4 linked regions of the Callithrix jacchus genome follow. The protein of the gene in region 1 binds, or shares a complex with, the protein of each later gene. Links are inferred from orthologs where the notes say so. Each region holds a gene or a part of one and is shown in the gene's direction. Other genes may lie near its edges.

Evidence for each region. Proteins that work in one complex are often made in the same cells at the same time.
Region 2: the proteins of FGF2 (region 1) and S100B are in contact, whole or in part, in an NMR structure (PDB 2M49), measured with the Homo sapiens proteins. The link is inferred for Callithrix jacchus from reciprocal best matches to the Homo sapiens genes FGF2 and S100B. Residues at the interface, in NP_001997.5 of Homo sapiens: Arg164, Tyr166, Cys167, Lys168, Asn169, Gly170, Gly171, Phe173, Arg186, Lys188, Asn243, Asn244, Tyr245, Arg262, Lys267, Gly275, Gln276, Lys277, Ala278, Leu282, Met284; in NP_006263.1 of Homo sapiens: Glu47, Ile48, Lys49, Glu50, Gln51, Glu52, Asp55, Lys56, Cys85, Phe88, Phe89, Glu90, His91, Glu92.
Region 3: the proteins of FGF2 (region 1) and FGFR1 are in contact, whole or in part, in a crystal structure (PDB 1CVS), measured with the Homo sapiens proteins. The link is inferred for Callithrix jacchus from reciprocal best matches to the Homo sapiens genes FGF2 and FGFR1. Residues at the interface, in NP_001997.5 of Homo sapiens: His158, Phe159, Lys160, Lys163, Tyr166, Gly170, Phe173, Arg186, Lys188, Leu197, Gln198, Ala199, Glu200, Glu201, Arg202, Gly203, Val205, Ser206, Tyr215, Val230, Glu238, Leu240, Asn243, Asn244, Tyr245, Asn246, Leu282, Pro283, Met284; in NP_075598.2 of Homo sapiens: Glu162, Lys163, Leu165, His166, Ala167, Val168, Pro169, Ala170, Asp246, Val248, Arg250, Ser251, Pro252, Val279, Ser281, Asp282, Pro283, Gln284, Pro285, His286, Ile287, Ala314, Gly315, Val316, Thr319, Asp320, Glu324, Gly344, Asn345, Ser346.
Region 4: the proteins of FGF2 (region 1) and FGFR2 are in contact, whole or in part, in a crystal structure (PDB 1II4), measured with the Homo sapiens proteins. The link is inferred for Callithrix jacchus from reciprocal best matches to the Homo sapiens genes FGF2 and FGFR2. Residues at the interface, in NP_001997.5 of Homo sapiens: Phe154, Pro155, Pro156, Gly157, His158, Phe159, Lys160, Lys163, Tyr166, Lys168, Gly170, Gly171, Phe173, Arg186, Leu197, Gln198, Ala199, Glu200, Glu201, Arg202, Gly203, Val205, Ser206, Tyr215, Val230, Phe235, Glu238, Leu240, Asn243, Asn244; in NP_000132.3 of Homo sapiens: Glu163, Lys164, Leu166, His167, Ala168, Val169, Pro170, Ala171, Asn173, Asp247, Val249, Glu250, Arg251, Pro253, Ile257, Lys279, Val280, Tyr281, Ser282, Asp283, Ala284, Gln285, Pro286, His287, Ile288, Ala315, Gly316, Val317, Thr319, Thr320.

Annotation. Positions count from the first base shown.
Region 1 is NC_133504.1:74,800,826-74,805,298, reverse strand, and holds the start of FGF2 (fibroblast growth factor 2), read left to right. Parts: upstream 1-1,416; 5' UTR 1,417-1,433; coding exon 1,434-2,124; intron 2,125-4,473. UniProt on the Homo sapiens protein: Acts as a ligand for FGFR1, FGFR2, FGFR3 and FGFR4. Also acts as an integrin ligand which is required for FGF2 signaling. Binds to integrin ITGAV:ITGB3.
Region 2 is NC_133522.1:52,191,933-52,196,437, reverse strand, and holds the start of S100B (protein S100-B), read left to right. Parts: upstream 1-1,581; 5' UTR 1,582-1,650; intron 1,651-3,736; 5' UTR 3,737-4,179; coding exon 4,180-4,317; intron 4,318-4,505. UniProt on the Homo sapiens protein: Small zinc- and- and calcium-binding protein that is highly expressed in astrocytes and constitutes one of the most abundant soluble proteins in brain.
Region 3 is NC_133514.1:39,299,143-39,303,453, reverse strand, and holds the start of FGFR1 (fibroblast growth factor receptor 1), read left to right. Parts: upstream 1-1,387; 5' UTR 1,388-2,047; exon of another isoform or gene 2,048-2,362; intron 2,363-2,639; exon of another isoform or gene 2,640-2,800; intron 2,801-4,311. UniProt on the Homo sapiens protein: Tyrosine-protein kinase that acts as a cell-surface receptor for fibroblast growth factors and plays an essential role in the regulation of embryonic development, cell proliferation, differentiation and migration.
Region 4 is NC_133513.1:115,006,148-115,010,720, reverse strand, and holds the start of FGFR2 (fibroblast growth factor receptor 2), read left to right. Parts: upstream 1-1,649; 5' UTR 1,650-2,126; intron 2,127-3,448; exon of another isoform or gene 3,449-3,838; intron 3,839-3,992; exon of another isoform or gene 3,993-4,419; intron 4,420-4,573. UniProt on the Homo sapiens protein: Tyrosine-protein kinase that acts as a cell-surface receptor for fibroblast growth factors and plays an essential role in the regulation of cell proliferation, differentiation, migration and apoptosis, and in the regulation of embryonic development.

The DNA of each region.
Region 1 (4,473 bases):
GTTTATTACCATTAGATCATAGATATTTGTCCAATCATACTTCTCTATGACTTCCACTTCTTTATCAGTCCTAGCCTTAAAAATACACAGGTTTCTCTATTAACTTTGGGTCTTCATTTCTGAAGGCTCCTGTTTTGTGTAAAACTTATATAAACAAATTAGTATGTTTTTCTCTTGTTAATGTGTCTGTTGCTACAGGAGCTTCAGCCATAAACCTAGTAATGAATGAGGAATTTTTTTTCCCCCTTCTCTATAGAACATACACTAGCTGCAAGAAGAAAGAAGAGTATGCCTGGTTTTAAAGCTTCGGAGAATTTACTCACACTCCTATATTTAACATTCTAGAAATGAATCTGGAGTTAAAGCCCTCTTGGAGATTTGAGAAAAATGCACTTATACATGACCTTTTGAAACCTAATGTTTCTACAAGGAAGCACTTGCAACTCCTTCTAGAAGCTTCCCTAAATCTCCTGCTTCCCCAACTGAGTTACCCCATGTCTGAAATGTCACAGCACATAGTCTTACTCTTCTATGGTCTAGTTACTTTCTACTGGTATTTGTGTTACTCATGCTACCCATCTTATCTCCCTCACTGAGTGAAACAGTAATTTTCAGTAGGATATAGCAGGTGCTACAGATGATTAGCAAGTTTGGAAACGCTAGCAAGGGAAAAAATGGGGGAGAAAGTTGTATTTAAACCTTTAAAAGTTGAGTCACGGCTGATTGCGCAGCAAAAGCCCTGCAAGTTTGCTAATCATCTGTCGCACCTGCTATATCCTACTGAAAATTACCAAAATGCAAGAAACTTCAAATTTACATTTGGGATTTACAGAAATTAACTCTGTCTCCAAGAAATGTATTAACAATTCAGCTAGGGCAAATGCCAGCTCCGAGTTAAGACATTAATGCGCTTCTATCGCGATAAGGATTTGGGCCTCATCCTCACCTTTCTGTGTTGTCTAATTCAAGTTGGGTCAGTAACCCAATCTGCTTCCCTTCTCTGGCCTCTTTCTTTCCTTTTGTTGATAGACGACTTTAGTCTCTGTCCTTTATTTTTAAACAGTTCATGCCCCACGTGTACCCCTCGTCTTTTGGTGATTTAGAGATTTTCAGAGCCTGTTCTGACACAGAATCTTCCCTGGATTCCGACTTCTCTACTTTGGGGTGGAAACAGCTTCCCCGTTTTGAAACGCTAGCAAGGGAAAAAATGGGGGAGAAAGTTGTATTTAAACTTTTAAAAGTTGAGTCACGGCTGGTTGCGCAGCAAAAGCCCCGCAGTGTAGAGAAAGCCTAAACATGGTTTGGGTGGTGCGGGGTTGGGCGGGGGTGACTTCTGGGGGACAAGGGACCGTGGAGCCCCGGGACTACCGGGGTCCTGCTGCGGCCTCCGGCGCGCCCCCCGCCCCTCCCCCACCCGGCTGTCCCCGGGACAGATGTCGCGCTTGCGTGTTGTGGCCGAAGCGCCGGACTCAGAGGCCGGCCCCAGAAAACCCCGAGCGAGTAGGGGGGCGGCGCGCAGGAGGGAGGAGAGCCGGGGGCGCGGGTGGCTGGTGGGTGTCGGGGGTGGAGATGTAGAAGATGTGACGCCGCGGCCCGGCGGGTGCCAGATCAGCGGACGCGGTGCCCGCGGTTGCAACGGGATCCCGGGCGCTGCAGTTTGCTGGGCGGCTCTCCCCAGGCGCCGGCCGCGGAAACACCCTTTCCTGAACCCCAGCTTTCGGGCCGCCGGCTCGCGGCGCACCAGAGGCCGGCGGACAGAAGAGCGGCCAAGCGGCGCGAGGCTGGGGGCCCGCGGGCGCGGCCGCGCACTGCCGGGCGGGAGGCTGGGGGGCCGGGGCCGGGGCCGTGCCCTGGAGCGGGTCGGAGGCCGGGGCCGTGGCCGGGGGGCGGCGGCTCCCCGCTCGGCTCCAGCGGCTCGGGGTCCCCGGCAGGGTCCCGGAGGGACCATGGCAGCCGGGAGCATCACCACGCTGCCCGCCCTGCCCGAGGACGGCGGTAGCGGCGCCTTCCCGCCCGGCCACTTCAAAGACCCCAAGCGGCTGTACTGCAAAAACGGGGGCTTCTTCCTGCGAATCCACCCCGACGGCCGAGTGGACGGGGTCCGGGAGAAGAGCGACCCTCACAGTGAGTGCCGGCCCGTTCTCCCCGCCCCATTTCCATTTCCCGGGTCCTCGCCCACTCTCTCCTCTACAGCCTGCGCGCTCCTCCCGGATCTTCATTGCCACCCTAGCGGTCCGTGTGGTTTCTGGCCGCGCGGCCCTCAGCGGTTTCGGGTTCACCACTCGCCCCCTCCTTCCCGAGCTGCGGCGTAGGCCCGGGCGTCCCCCGGGCTTTGGGGTGTTCCAGTTTGCCCCGTAAACCAGTCTCCCCAGCCCCGAGCCGCGGCGCGCCGGGCCCCGGCTGACGGGCTCCCTTCCCGCAGACAACCTGTCGCGTCGGGATGCCCGCGGCCCCGCCGTGCAGCTCTGGCCGCTTGTGTGTCTGCTGTGGGGGACAGAGTGTATTTCCCTCAAAGACAGGACGGGCCGCAGCAGAACAAAACGATCTTTACTGGAAAAACACCTTTCCAGAGTCCTGCCCTTAAATTCCGACTCGGGAAGAACCGAGGCATGTGGCACACTCCTCTCACCCACTCGGTTTTATATTTTTCCGAATTGACGAAAGCTGAAAGAGCAAAAACAAAACCCAACCAGCCAACCAGCAAGAAATCCAGATGTTAACAACTTGCGATAAATTTGTTTCAGTAGTGAAAAGAAGTGCAAACACTTTAACCTTCCCCGTGCAGTGACTAGCTTTGAGACCTTGGGCCGACTTGTAACCCCAGAGCCGGTTTCCTCATCCCTAACGTGGGGCTAATACCTACCTTGCAGCAGGTTTGAGGATGGAATGAGAATTGCAGTTTTGCTTTCTCTAAGAAACAATTTTTATGATTCTAGAAAGAACACTGGCCTAAATCAGGGGTTCCTGGACTTTAGGGGAGTCCCTAAGTCTGGAGTAGGGGCTGAAGATTTGCATTTCTAACCTGTTCCCCGGGGATGCTGATCACATCCAACTTTGAGAGCCACTGGTCTAAAGGAAAGAAGAAAGGGGCGTAGGATGAGCCAATTTACAACACTGATGGAATTTGAAGTGAGAGAAAGAGGACTAGAATATATTTTAACCTGTCCTTCTGTACGTGTGGGTAAAGATATGTTTTAAAAGCTGTGTGTTCTGGCGATCCTTCCTCTATGGGTTCCAGGTGGAGAATCTGATTCTCTCTCTGCCTGAGAAAAGACCCACAGGGGTCTGAGCGCCACTCCCCTGTAGTTCTGCCTTTGTCTTGGGATGCTAGCGGGATGTCAAGAGCCCGGAGAGGGAAGAGGAGAAAATTCTACAGCCAAACGTGAATTGGCAGAAGAAATACAGTTTTATATGAGCTGTGTCTTTATTGCTTCCAAAATAGCAACCAGCAAGAAAGGCAAGTCTTTAATTTTTTTTCAGGCCTGCCATAATTTAAAAATTAAATCACTTTATCCCGTAAAACATGCTTGCAACCTATTACATGGGTTTGTGCTATTTCTCTATTCTGGTAACTTGAGTATCTGTTTCACAACATTATCTTTGTGATTGAAATTTGTTCTGCAGCTGTCTGCTAGGCCATCTCAGCTGAGGAGGGCAAAGTGCTCTGTGTCCCCATTAGTTTTGTCCTTTTCTAGTATCACAAACTATTAACTAAAAAGCATGTATTATGACCAGAGGACAGAAGAATTCTCTAGATGAAGTAATATTTGGGGCTTCCCCTAATACTCTTGTTTTCAAACTCTGTTAGTTGCTGAATCCTTTTTTTCTTGAAGATTTTGATACCGATTCTTCTTAGAATAAGACTATATAGAGGCTAGCCAGTGGACATAATTTTGAATTATATATCACATTACTACCCTTTTAAAAACAGCTGTTAAGTTTTTCTTCCTAACTGTGAGCTGGGTTTTCATTTGTGTAATCTTACTTTAACTCTGTGGTTCTCAAGTGATTTTGCCTCCCAGGGGACATTTGACAGTGCCTGGAGACAGTTTTGGTTACCCTAACCCGGAAAGGGTGCTACTGGCATCTAACAGGTAGAGACCAGGGTTGCTGCTAAACTTCTACAATGCACAGGATAATATCCACACACACAAAATTTTTGACCCCAAATGTCATCAGTGCTCAGGTTGAGAACTCTGCCAACTTTATAACTAGCTAAGGACAGGATGTTAAAAGGGAAAAGTAGAATAACCCATCCAGACTTGTAGAGACTACCAATTTTTAAAAAATACTTTTTATTTCTATAGGGTTTTGGGGAACAGGTGGTAATTGGTTACATGAGTAAGTTCTTTAGTGGTGATTGTGAGATTTTGGTGCAGCAGTCACCTGAGCAGTATACAATGAACCCAATTTGTAGTCTTATCCCTCCCCAACTTCCCACCCTTTCTTCCCAAGTCCCCAAAGAGACTACTT
Region 2 (4,505 bases), on another chromosome or scaffold:
ACACTGAGCAATTGGCCACTGCCAAAAATCTCTGTGGACCAAGGCACTTGGAACAGGGTGGACCCACTGCACCGCACTTGCCTTCCCAGGAAGCTGCAGTGTGAAGAGGGCAGGTCTGCCTGAGTCTTCCTGCTGAGCACAGTGCCCGAGGCGCAGGGGTACAGTCATTGCCTGAGTGGATTTCAAACTATTTTTAATCCCTGCAGGAGCAGGCTTAAGAGTTTCCTATGGATTCTGAAGGTGAATCCAGAGTTCAAGTTGCCACTCAGGGGAAGTGGTCAAGGCTTTCAGGAATGGTCCCTCCAACGTCTGAGCGAGGAAGCGGCATAGAGCACAGCCGCGCCTTCCTCAGGCCTGGGCAAGCTCCGTGCTTCACAGAGCAAGCCTGTGTCGGATTCTTCAGCAGGAAGATGAGGAAATGAGGCCCAACCACCCTGCTCAGGTCCTTCCTCACAGGAGGCTGGGGCATGCTCAGCCATGCAAGACCACAGCTTTCAGCCCCGTGCTGTTTCCAGGGCACACTTACGGATGCTGAATGAGAGAACTTTCTAGATAAAACAGGTGACAGCAAAACAGCCATGTACACAGGTATCTTGTGGGAAACCCTTCCACAACCACTTTGAAACTGGGTGGGGAGAAGGACCTGACGCAGGGTCAGGCATCCTTTGGGGCCCATGGACATGTGTGGAGAGTTTGGGCCAATGCTTTTGTGTGATTTGTCAGAAGGCACGCCCACTTCTTCCCTCCTGTGAAGAACCCGCAAACTGGCCCCTGCACTCAGAGACTCACATAGGGCACATAGAGGGGACGACTGGATTTCTCCTTCGAGGCTTCGGCAAGGGGCACAGCATCCACACACCTCTGTAAAACAGCGTTCGGATAGGGCATCTCTAAGGCATTGTGCGACTCTGCCGGTCTGTGACCTTCCACACTGGGGTGGAGCATAAGGCCTTGGGATACAATCCACATCACGCTAAACAAGGACTTTCCCCTCAAAGTACCACACATTTCAGTCCCTGCAGACACGGGGCTCAGCAGCTTCTGTGAGGCAGCCCTGTTGAACCCAGGGCTGACCACGGACAAGCACTACTGTCCACAGAAGCCCGCGCCCAGTGGGGCCAGCCATGGAGGCTGGCAGAGGAGAGAGGCTCCAGGGGTCTCTCCATCGGAAGCCAGATCGCAGGCCACCTACTCTCCTACGCTCAGCCTGTACTTGGAAGCTTCTGGTTCTTGGCTGCACATTTGCTTTGTTTGAATCAATTAGCCCAAGTCTCTCTCTCTCCACCCCCAACCTTGCCTTCAGCAGAACATCAATATTCATGTAACAAATAAATAGCACAAAAAGCTGACTCCCCACTTCCTGCCCCACAGGCCCTTCTTCTTCCTCAGCCCGTGTGCAATCCTGGCTCCTGGCAAGTCCCCGGGCTGCTTGGTCAATGCAGCCCTGTGTGCCAGCCTGGCAGCCCTGCCGCCCCCACCCTCGGCCCCCATTGGCTGTCACAGCCTGCAGTGGGCTGCACCTGGGTTCATCCGTCCTCCCTGGGCAGAGGGGATAAGAGGTTGCCCCTGTGCACCAGTCCTGCCCTCCAGGACCGGCAGCAGAGACGAGGCCTGCAGCAAGGAGACAAGGAAGGGTGAGACGCGGAAGAGGTGAGAGAGCCAGGCCAGGAGGACGCTCAGGAAGAAATGGTTTTGTTTTGGGTGGAACAGGGTGGTGGAGGAGGGGTAGAAACTATCCCTTTAGGATAATTGGCAGCATTTCAGAAGGGTCAATAGCACGATGTGCTTTAATCTCCACTTCATTGCTGCTTTGTGGACACCCGACCGCACCAGCCCTAGACAGCCAGAGCTGTTTGCCTGTGTTTTGCCATAAATCAGAGAAACCTCAGCTCTCATGGTCCAGAAGTGATTGTTGACATTTTCCCAGTGATACTACAAACACTGCCTCTTCTGTAACGATTTGAAGAGCAAGGTTTTTGTTTCCCACTGGGGCTGAAAATGAGAGAGAATCTAATGCTAGTTTAGTCCTATATCATAAATAAATGCTTTCCTTTTCTCCCTCTTACTTCTTCCACCGCCCTGGGTAAGTAACTTCAGTTTTCCAGTTTCCCTCAGTTTAAAAAGCCAGGGTCCCCGCAGCCCCAGGACACCACTCAGAAATTACATAACAATTACAGATAAATTGGGTCCAAGAAAGTGGAGTTTTGGCGAGTTTTAACTTTCCTCAGTCTTACAGTTTCTCAGGGAGTCGAACCCCTTCTTTAGAGGGATCTTCACGCACTAGCTAAACTGTCGAAGGAGTTAAAGTTCAAATATTCTCTTGTTCTCAATATTAGAAGGTTAATGTAGAACATCTACAGAATGTAAGAAAGAAATGGATATTTATTTCCATTTATCTTACAAGATAAACTGTAAACCATCAACTGTTTCTTAAGTCAAAGGGAAAAATTTAACAAAAATTTTTTAATTGATTTGTAGTGTGGTTATGAAGAAAACCGTATTTTCTAGTGGTTTCTATTAGGGTTCTAATATATGGAATACATGTTTTATGCCTTTCCTTTGTAAAAATCCCATTAGTCATAATTCGCAGAAAAACAATTTAACCTCCTTTTCCCTAAATCATCACCAACTTTGAGGAGCATCAGAATGATGCAAAAGTGTATTTTGTTTTGTGTGGTTTTTTAAAATACACACACGCACACGCACACATACACATCAATAACCGAACATTTTAGTGCAAAGAATAAGAAAACATGAAATGCTAAAAAATTTTAATCCCTCTTAGCTGTTCTATTTGTGAAGTATACTGATTATTAATACAATGACTTTAGCAAAGATCTGGCCAGTATAAAAAAATCTCCAGTCCTGTTTCCTTTGGAGGATCAGAAATAAATAAAAATTTTTACATCTAATTCCAAATTATTTTTAAGATGTAAGTGATCTATTCAACATAGGAATGATTTTTGATAATATTTGATTTATTAATTTATTTTTAATTATAACAGTGCAAATGTTCTCATTTAATGATTAGAATCCGAGGCCAAAAGCTGGTAAATCTCTCTGCCTGCGCGTCTGTTCAGTGAAACAACTGACAAGGCATCCTTTGTAAAATGCGCCTCATTCCCAGACTGACCAGGTATTTCCTTGGTTTGTAGGCTGTGACGTACGGTACTTGCTGTGAGGGAGCAGGAGGGCTCTTACTGAGATTGCGGCAGAGAAGCATATTCCTGTACCGTCCCAGTTACCGCAGTGAATGAGCCACCATTTCCCTGCACGGGAGGTGGAATGCTTGCTCAGCAGCTCAGCTTTCTGCTGGGTTCTGTCCTTCCCTGCGACAGAACCACACCCATTTAATCAATTAAACTTAAGATACATTTTTTTTTTTCCTGGTAGGTCAGTTACCTTTTATTGTTATTCTTCAAAAAGATCGTGGCAATTCTACCATATTTATTTGTCCTGATGAATTTTACAGCTGTTTTTGTCATGTCACCCACCCAAAAAATTCCATTATTTTTATTAAAGATGATTTAAATTTACATTTGAATTTAAAGGAAAAAGTTCCTACGTTTTATGTTTCTCAGAATCTCTTGGAAGCACCTGCATTTTTCCTCCTAAACTTACTCCTACAGCACCTGTCATTGCTATATGAAAAGGGTGTCTTGCACTGTATTCTCTACTTCTTTATTGATAGAAAAGAGGAATGCTGTTGATTTTTGTCTTCTTATTTTGCTCCTAGTCACCGTCTCACCAGCTTGCAGTTCATGCTTTGCTCACCTGCACTCGACCACCTCATCTTGGAGCTTTACAAGGACAGAGAGGGACCCTGCGGGAAGCAGAAATTAATCCCTGAATTCCCTTTCTGCTCTGCCTCTGTATTTTTGCTGAAGTTTTCCCATTCACCCAACCCAACCAGAAGCCAGAGGGCATGGGAAGATATCCCTGTGGCTCAGAGGGACAGAGAAGGCAGGCCCACATGTGTCTAAGAGGCAGGTGGGAGGACTGTGATGAAAGCACAAATTTCCTGAATGCCCTTCCAGGCGTTGCCTGCTGCTCTGAGCTTGAAAAGAATGCAAGGCCAGCCCATCCCCCTTGTCTGGGTTGAGGTCTGTGTCGATAACACACGAAATGCTTACGATGAGGTATAGATGAGAAGGCATCTTTCCTTTGTGAGCCCCTAGGATGTCTGAGCTGGAGAAGGCCATGGTGGCCCTCATCGACGTTTTCCACCAGTATTCCGGAAGGGAGGGAGACAAGCACAAGCTGAAGAAATCCGAACTGAAGGAGCTCATCAACCATGAGCTTTCCCATTTCCTAGAGGTGAGTCTTGCTTTTTAAACTTGACACTTTCCCCATCTCCTCTTACAAAGCCACTGTACACTGGCTTTATCTTCTCAGCTGCCCTGAAGCTGATTCCAGTTCTGTCCCAGGACTCCTGGGTTGCTTCTGGAAACTTGCTTGAGTAACAGAACCCTCAATGGGGGGCTGGGTCAGATGGGACCTTGTTT
Region 3 (4,311 bases), on another chromosome or scaffold:
CACTCCAGCCTGGCGACAGAATGAGACTGTCTCCGAAAAAATAAAAAAGAGAAAAGAAGGGGGAAAAAAAGGAAAAATAATGTGAGGACCCATTTCTTAAATTAACAGGGGTGGGGTGGGGAGGAGCAGTGGGTGGGATGGGGGAGGAGTTGCGTGGGGGATCTCATTCAGTATTCAAACTCTTACAAATTTGGGGGTTGAGGTGGGTGATGGTGAGGGAACAGGCCCTGCCACTAACTTACATAGTGACATTTATTTGTGTAATATTTTTGGCACACTGATGCCTATTATTGTATTTGATTCTTATGACCATCTTGTGAAGGAGTAGCAACAGATACCCCTGTTTTGATTTTATCAGATGCATGACTTGTCCTGCATCAAACTTCATAAATGGACAGAATGGAGGAATCCTTCAGCCCTAGAGCTTCCTGCTTCCCACCCTAACAGTGGCCTCAGCCTGGGCTCACATCATAGGCCCCACGGAGCCTTGGAAAAAACATAGATTCTTGGCTCCTTCCTGGGACAGCGCGATTCCTCATGTCTGAGCAGGCCCATGAATTTGTATTTTTCAAGAGTTCTTTACAGGACCCGTGTCCATTTGGATTAGGGAACCACTAGATTATACCATTCCACGGAAGACTCAGGGGGAAGCATTTTAGCCACTTTCCCAGGTTCCATAGTATTGGAGGGTGTTCTGAGTGGGCTGTGATTAATTTCCAAACCAACCACACCTCTCCCCTCAACTCCCACTGCTTACTCTTTGCTTCCTAGACGTTCACTGCAGGCTGGAGACTTCCGGAGGCCAACAACATCGCTGAAGAATTTACAGAGTCCAGTTCCCGGTGGACCACAAAACCTAAATTATGTGGCTGGGGAAAGCTGAGATCCAAAGGAAGGGTTTGAGGAGGGGCTGACCTTCTCAAGAATAAAATCAGCTTGTATTTATTAAGTGTTAACTATGCGCCAGGCCCTCGTTGACGCCTCAACTCTATACGAAAAGCACTATTATTCCCCTTTTACAGATGGCAAAACCGAGATTAGAGCGCGAAAATCATTTCCCCAAGGCGCACAGACTCCAAAGGCCACGCTACCAGGTACAACCTCAGGGCTGCAGCGTCTCTTCACCTGGCCCCCCACGCGGCTGCTGTGTCTAGGGCCTGAAATCCCGGCGCCCTCTGGGACGTGCTCAGATGCAGCGGCGCGAGCGCCAGAGGAGACCAGGCTGCGGGAAGGGAAGGGCCGAGCGGAGGACAGCTTGGCCCGCTCCCCCTCCTCGGGGGCCGCGGCTCGGGAACTACAAGGCCCAGCAGGCAGCGGCAGAGGGCGGAGGCGGAGGAGGGACCAGCGCTGGTGGGAGTGAGAGGGCGAGCCCTCGCGCCTCGCCGGCGCACAGCGCTCGGAGCGCTCCTGCGGCCACAGGCTCGGCGGCCTCGGCGGCGGGCGGCAGGCAGCGGGAGCCGGGACGCCGGTGCAGCCGCAGGGCGCGGAGGAACCCGGGCAGTGCCAGGAGCTAGGCGGCCACGTCCGGACCGGACCGGACCGAGAGTCCGCGTAGCGCATTGCGGCGACCTCGCCTTCCCCGGCCGCGAGCGCGCCGCTGCTGGAAAAGCCGCGGAGCCCGAGGACTTTTCTCTGCTCCGAGCTCGGGGCGCCCCGCAGGACGCACGGTACCCGTGCTGCAGTCAGGCACGCCGCGGCGCCAGAGCCTCCGCGGGGCGATGGATCCTGGTCTGCAAGGAGCGTGAGGCGCCTCCGCTGCGTTCCGGAGAAGGGGGGCGCAGGGTCTGGAGACCCGGGCAGCGGACGGGAGCCCTCCCCCCGCCCCGCCTCCGGGGCACCAGCTCCGGCTCCATTGTTCCCGCTCGGGCTGGAGGCGCCGAGTACCGAGCGCTGCCGGGAGTCGAGCGCCGGCCGCGGGGCTTTCGCGACCCCGCCAGCACCCGAACAGAGCCCGGGGGCGGCGGGCCGGCGCCGGGGACGCGGGCACACGCCCTCTCGCACAAGCCACGGCAGACTCTCCCGAGGCCGAACCTCCACGCCGAGCGAGGTAAGAGCCGCGGCGCCCCCGATCCGGGGCGGACTAGCGTCCCGAGCAGCCCCAGGCGCCGGAGCCTTCCGGCTGCGCGCTTCGCCCGCCGCAGCCCAGCCGGGGCCGGCGCCTCCCTCCGCTCGCCGCCCGCCCCCTCCACCTCCCGGCTCCCTCCCCGGCAATCCGCGCCCCCCTTGGGTCTCCCCTCCCTTCCCTCCGCCCGCGTCGCCTTCTGCGCCCCCTCCCTGCGCTCGTCCCGCCGGTCTTCCCGCCGCCCAACTTTTCCGCCAACTCGCGCTCGGGAGCTGACGAGGCGGCGGCGGCGGCTACTCGGTGAGTCCCGGGAGGGACAGGGCTGGAGTGGGCGGCGAGGGGGGCGGTGTGTGTGTGTGTGTGTGTGTGTGTGTGTGTGTTGCATTCCGCTCCATCTCTTCTTAGTCCCCTTTTGGGGATTCACCCCAATTCAGCAGGTAGCTTTGGGCTCAACGCTAAAAATCCGTGACATTCCTAAGTCCTTTTCCACCCCCGGGAAAGTCTGGGGTCCGGGTGGGGGGCGAGTGGGCGGGGGGATGAAATGCGGAGGACGTGGAGAGCTAGGTTAGCTTCTCTTGGAATACGTTTTAAGGAGGTGTCGTCACCAAATGGCTGAATCTGCTTGAGCTGAAAGCGAAAAACGACTCCCCTTTCCAGAAGGGGTGATCTACTTGGACGGTCTCAGAAAGGGTCGGAAGTTTGGGGAACGGGAGGACGACCCGCGGTCGTTAAGCCGAGGTATGGGGCGGGGGCAGGGGCTGGGGCTGGGGCCGGGGCTGTTCCGTCCCAATCTGGTTCTTGGAGGTGGAGGAAGGGATGTGGGTTTTGTCCGGTGCGGTTCACTCGGCTGCGATGCGTGTGCTTGTCTAGCCCAGACCCCTCTGCGCTCCGCGTCCCCTCCCGTTATGTTTGGTGTTGGTAGAAAGGGAGGCTACGACCCACGTCGGCAGAGAAATTTGTGGACGTTGTAGATGGGGTTCATATAGAACACCCCCTGTGAGGCAGCCAGACACTTTGTGTGGTGGTGGTGGGGGAGGGAGGGTGAAGCCTGTTTCTTGTTCTGGGCCCAGAAGCTATCAGCCCGTTTGAAGAACATTTCCACGGTGCGGTTCTCCCCTAGCCCTCCCCCATCCCCATTTTCCAGATGTGGCGGCCGCATCTGGTTCCGTTTCACCCCACACGGGTACACCGCAGCCGCATTATTAACTTACCTCTTCCTCCCCTCCCCCTCCCCCAAATTAAAACTCGGATTCTTCAACTCGCCTTGACCACCTCTCTCCTCATCATTTCTGGAGACTTGGAGATGCGGCATTGAGATTCAGGGGAGAAAAGAAAGTTCCCTTGAATCCCGAGTTATTTAAGTTCCCACCAAGTTATTCGCCGCCGCTGGTGGGTGACGGCGGTCGGGGTGCTTTCTGGATTGCGCAGAAAAGAGGCATCTTGGGAGATGGGGCCAAGGTTTTAGGGGATAGCACTTGCGAACGGTTCATCCGCTAGACTAGGGGGGCTCTTTGGCCGTGCGTCTGGCCAGAAGTGGCCTTGACGATGGAAGTTTCTGGAACCAAAGCATTGCTTTCTTTCCCTTGAGTTACAGTTGGAGTTGCAGGAGCGCCTGCCCCGCCCGGAGCCCGCGGTCCCCTCTCGGCCGCCCCGCGGTGGCGTCACGCGCCCCTTCTTCCCCTCCCGGAGCGAGCCCGGTGCGCAGGGCCGGGGGGCGTGGGCGGCTGTTGCCAGAGGTGCTCTCTGTGTTTTTAAGGATTGATTTGGGCCACATCCCCGGAAGCTAAGTGGGACATTTTACCGTTTAAATAACGGCCACAGGTTTGAAAGCGGGGGTTGGATTGTCAAGTTGTGTTTGGTCATAGTCTTTGAGGCAGGAAAGCACCTTGTGGTCCAAAGTTGCAGGAGGGTGGGGAGAGTCGGGAGAGTCGGTCTCTCACCCGCTTCTTTCCAGTCTCTTTCAAATTGAAAACACTTCTCTGGTTTCCTTCTTTGGGCGGTAGTTTTGGAGGCTGTAATGAAATCGCACTTTCTCTAGACGTGGTAATTAAGGTGACTGTTTCCTCCGCAGATGTGCCCTGCCCTTTGCACCTCCGGACCAGCGCTTTTTTTGGAATACCACCTAAATGGGAAAACCTTAGCCTTGAGACTGTTGAGCAGAAAGTGGCCATTTTCCTCCCTTGGCTCGGGCTCCCGGTTTCCTCCCTGAGGCTTCTTTAAAAGCGAAGTAGCAGGGCCCTGTGGGACCC
Region 4 (4,573 bases), on another chromosome or scaffold:
ATTGGAGGGGAATGTAAAGATGTAAGAGGCAGCCTGAAAGCAGGCAGACACATTCAGCTGCATCCCTTTTCTGAGAACTTGAAAACATACTGCTAGGTTCAGAACAACCCAGGTGGCAGTGAATGGCTAAGTGTCACCTGTCCTGAGGTGTCTGTTAATATAGGCTCTGGGACTGATTCAGGTTAGAGGCCCCGACCAAAAACACCCTCCCACCAAGCATATGGAGGCATCATTTTGTTTAAGAGCCAGTTTTTATTTTGTTGCCATCAAACTCCCCAAATCCAATATTACAGCCTTTTGCGTGAGGCAGTTAAAGGGATTGATTTGTCGTGTGGCTTTTAAGTAACTCGCATCAATGTTTTCTGTGCTATACTGTGAATAAAAATGATTTTCTAATCATGTGGCACCTTGAAAAAAAATTTTTGTAAATGTTAGGAAGTATGCAATGCTAGTGACGCAGGTGCAAATATGTTTCTAAGGGCAGGAAAAGTCTGTTTTCCAAGTCAGGTTTGTTCTCAATGCTTCATCTATCTTCAGGCCTCAAAAGGATTCTAAAGCATTTCTGGGTTTAGTGACCTTTTCTAAAGAAAAATAATTAAGGTTTTAATCTATACCGTCTTGAACCGAGCACGGCTGCTCTGGAGCTGGATGAATAAGGAGGAAGAAAAAGCATATTTAAAATGAATGAATCCGAAGACACGGCTTAGGGAAAAGGGTAAATGGAAATAGGAACTTTAGCCAGTTACAGCTTGGTGTGGACTTGAAGAATCAGATTTTGCATTTATGATTTTGAATCTAGGATTCAGAGGGAGGAATTAGCTTGCTCAAGATCAGCTACTTATGGCAGAGTTGAATCTTTAGACTTCTTTGAATTTCTTTTAATTAATCCAAACATATACTACTAAACACTTATTTTTTTGAATGCAATTTTTGGCTTTTTCTGAGAGAGCCACATTCAAAGTCAGGCTCTCTCAATAGCCAGCTGTGTGATCCTAGGCAAATTACTGAACATCTCTGATCTTCAGTTTCCTTATCAGAAACTGGGAATATTACTCTGCAGGGTGGTTGGGCAGGCGAAATAGAATCACCTATGTAGTGTGACCCGCCCATAGTAGGGCCCCCATTAATATTCAGTTTTTTCCTCTCATTTCTGTTGTTTAGAAAGACAGAAAAATGCAATGTCCTGCGAACATTTCCAGGCTGCTTCCTCTCCTCCGAAAGCTTCAGTTGCCTGACAACCCTCCCCGCAGTACCAAAAGCAGACCCATTTTAAAGTCTCTTTAGGGGGTGGGCAGGGTTAGAGCCTTCGGTCACTTGTACTTAACGCGGCCGCTCCGGGAGCCGCTGGCCAGCCGCGCTCGCCCGAGGAAGAGGGAGGAGGTCGCGCGGGGCGCGGGACCAGGCCTTATTCGGAGGCTGTCGCTGCATCCCCACGGCCGGATCGCGGCTGGGCCCTCGCCTCCCCGGCCCGTGTCTCGGGCGAGGGCTCGGAGGCGTCGTGAGCCGCGCGGGGCTCGGGGCGGCCCGGGTGCGCGGCGCTGATTGGCAGAGCGGGCGCCGCCGTCCAGGAAACGGCTCGGGTTTCAGCGGGGGCGTGACCCGCCGGGAGGAGGCGGCGGCGGCGGCGCGGGCGGCGGCCGCAGGAGAGCGCGGTGGAGAGCCGAGCGGGCGGGCGGTGGGTGCGGAGCGGACGAGCGAGCGCGCGCGGCAGCCACAAAGCTCGGGCGCCGCGGGGCTGCATGCGGCGTACCTGGCCAGGCGCGGGGACTGCTCTCCGGGCTGGCGGGGGCCGGCCGCGCGCCCCGGGGGCCCAGAGGCCGCAGCTTGCCTGCGCGCTCTGAGCCTTCGCAACTCGCGAGCAAAGTTTGGTGGAGGCAACGCCAAGCCTGAGTCCTTTCTTCCTGTGGCTCCCCAAATCCGAGGGCAGCCCGCAAGCGTCATGCCCGCGCTCCTCCGCAGCCTGTGGTGCGCGTGAAGTCCGGGAGCCTTGGCGCGGGCGAAGACCTGGGGATCCCTCTTCTGCTTTTGGAGTTGCTCCCCGCAACCCCGGGCTCGTCGCTTTCTCCATCCCGACCCACGCGGGGCGCGGGGACAACACAGATCGCGGAGGAGCGTTGCCATTCAAGGTAATCGCCGCGGAAGACGCCTCTGGGAGCTTCTCCGCCAGCGGGGGAAGTGAGCGCCAAGGGAGCCCGGGACGTCGGGTGCAGCGTCCTCCGGGCGGGGGGCGCGGAAGGACTGGCATTGTGGGGGACGCCCCCTGGCCTTCCTAGGTGGCTGCATAGGTGATGGGGAGGTGGGTGCGTGCTGACGGCCCTTGTTGGGGAAGTTCTGCCTTTGCCACCTTCATCCAGATGCTGACATCTGCCTCTGGTGCAGACGCCCCCCTCCCTGTCAAACCCTGGCGGGCGCTTTCCCTCTGGCTGGGCGCGTTCCTCCAACCCCAGAGCAGACGGGCGGAGGGTTCGCCTGCCGATGGCACAGCCCCGCAGCCCGGGTCCCGCGGAGCATCTCCGAGGTGCCCCATCCGCGGGTCCTGGGAGCTTCCGTACCATCCAGGCCCCGCGGAGACCCCTGTCTCGGGAGGGGGCAGCTGGGGTGGGGCCGCTGACATCCCGTAGGGGTGGTGATGGCCAGGCGTGGCACTGTTGGGGAGGCGGCGGCTCCGGTGCCCGGTTTTCGATGCCTGGGCGCCCCTAGCCCGCAGCCGCTGTAGGCGCTGGAGGGAGCGCAGCGCGCCTGGGGCTAGGGGGCGAACTGGACCGACTTTTTCTAGTTCGCCTGCCTGCTCTGCCGCAGCGGCTGGGAGATGTCGAAAGCGCAGGCGAGTTCTAACTTGCGCGCTCATTCTTTCGGCGACTGGGCCGCGCTGGGGAAATCAGCCGAGGGCCCTGCGTGGCGCTGGCTCCGACCCTCGCGGCCCGCGGACCTGGCGCAGGAGGCCGGCCCGGGGGCCACTAGCCTCGGTCGCTCCCCTCACAGCCCGCTCCCTTGCAAACCGTTCTCCAGACCTTCTTTCCTTTCTCCCAATTCAATCAAACCTACCGTTAAAGGCAAACCTGCTTTGAAACTCAGGGCACCCATTATGTGTTTGGTGTGAAATGCTATCAACATTTAAAACTTCATTGTCCCCGGGTCCCAAATCCGTGTAAATCTTCCACCGGCCTCGACTCATTTTCATCTGAAAAGCCTGTTTAGTTTGAATAGAAAAGCAATCAGGCGCCCCTCTCCCTCTCCCTGGAATGTCAATTAAAATGCAGATTTCTCTGAGCTCTTTAGCGCCCCGAGAAGGGGGAGAAAAACAGGATATTTCGGGCAAACAAATGAAAGAAGTGCTGTCCCGAAAGGGGTGGTGGTGGGGAGCACCCCCAAGCTGCCTGCGAGTTCTGATTGGACGCAAGCATGAAACTGGGAGGGTATTGGGGTCCTGGCCCAGTTTGTGATTTTTGAGATTTCGATTTGTTGAGGAATTTCTCCCCTAGACTTGACCCCTTGACAGCTCCCTTTCCTCCTCAGCTGGGAAGAGGTAGGGAGGCCTTAAGCGAAGAGATGGGTCTGCGCTTTGGAGGAGCCGGGCACTGTGACTTTCCTGATGTGAAATCTACCCAGGAACAAAACAGCAGTGTTCCCTGTGGCCGAGCCAGCAGTGGACCTATCACCTCTTACGTGGAAGCCCAAAGCGGAGGGCTCTGTACTGGCCTGCCTTCTTAGAGGGTCGGGATTTTGGAAATATGGTAAAATTGAAGAGTGCAGCACAGGCCTGGCATGGGGACCACTCCGCAGCCAAGCCCTTCCTGCTTGTCACTCTGCCTGTCTTTGGGGGCAGGCTTGTGCCGAGGTGAAAATGGACGGGGTGGAGGGAGGGTGGGGGGCGGGCGGCCGAGAAGAGCCATCCATCAGAGGGAGGGTGACAACGCCTCCCGCGTGCGGGCTGAGAAGAGAGTTCCCTTTCAAGGGGAAAAATAAACACGCTGGGGCTTTCACTGGGGCTCAGACTCCAGGAAGGATTATGGTATTGAAGGCAGGAAGCCGGGATTGTGGCCGCCAGCGGCATGCTGGGCCTGTGTTCCCAACACCGAGCCTGGGGACCTAATTATCCTGCCTAGGAGGTCGTACCATACTTTTGTCCACTCGGTGAGGAACTGTGAAGACCTGTCGCCTTAGGTCTCCACCTTCCAGAGGTTTGGGGAGGGGGCTGCTGTGGAGCTTGGACCTGGAAATGGCTGAAATGCAAATCTCCAGTGCGGGCTAGCGGGATGTTGGAATGGCTTGAGATTCAGTGGACGGCCCTGTCCACCTTTCTCTGCCTGAAGCTAACAAGGTTCCTCTGGCATGGACAGGTGGGCGAGGAGGCTGGGGAAGGAGCCTGGGGCGAAACCTCTGCCAGGACTCAGGATTGTTCCTGAAGTCGTGTTAAAGGTAGAAAATTCCCCTGCATTCTGGAAATGCTTAGTAAATCAATGAGAATGTGTACTTTCCTCCCACATGTATGTAGAAATAGATCTGAAATTATCTTTTCAGGCTCTTGACTTTAAGAGGAAAGAAAAGTTAGGAGGAAAAATCCTTCGAGCAA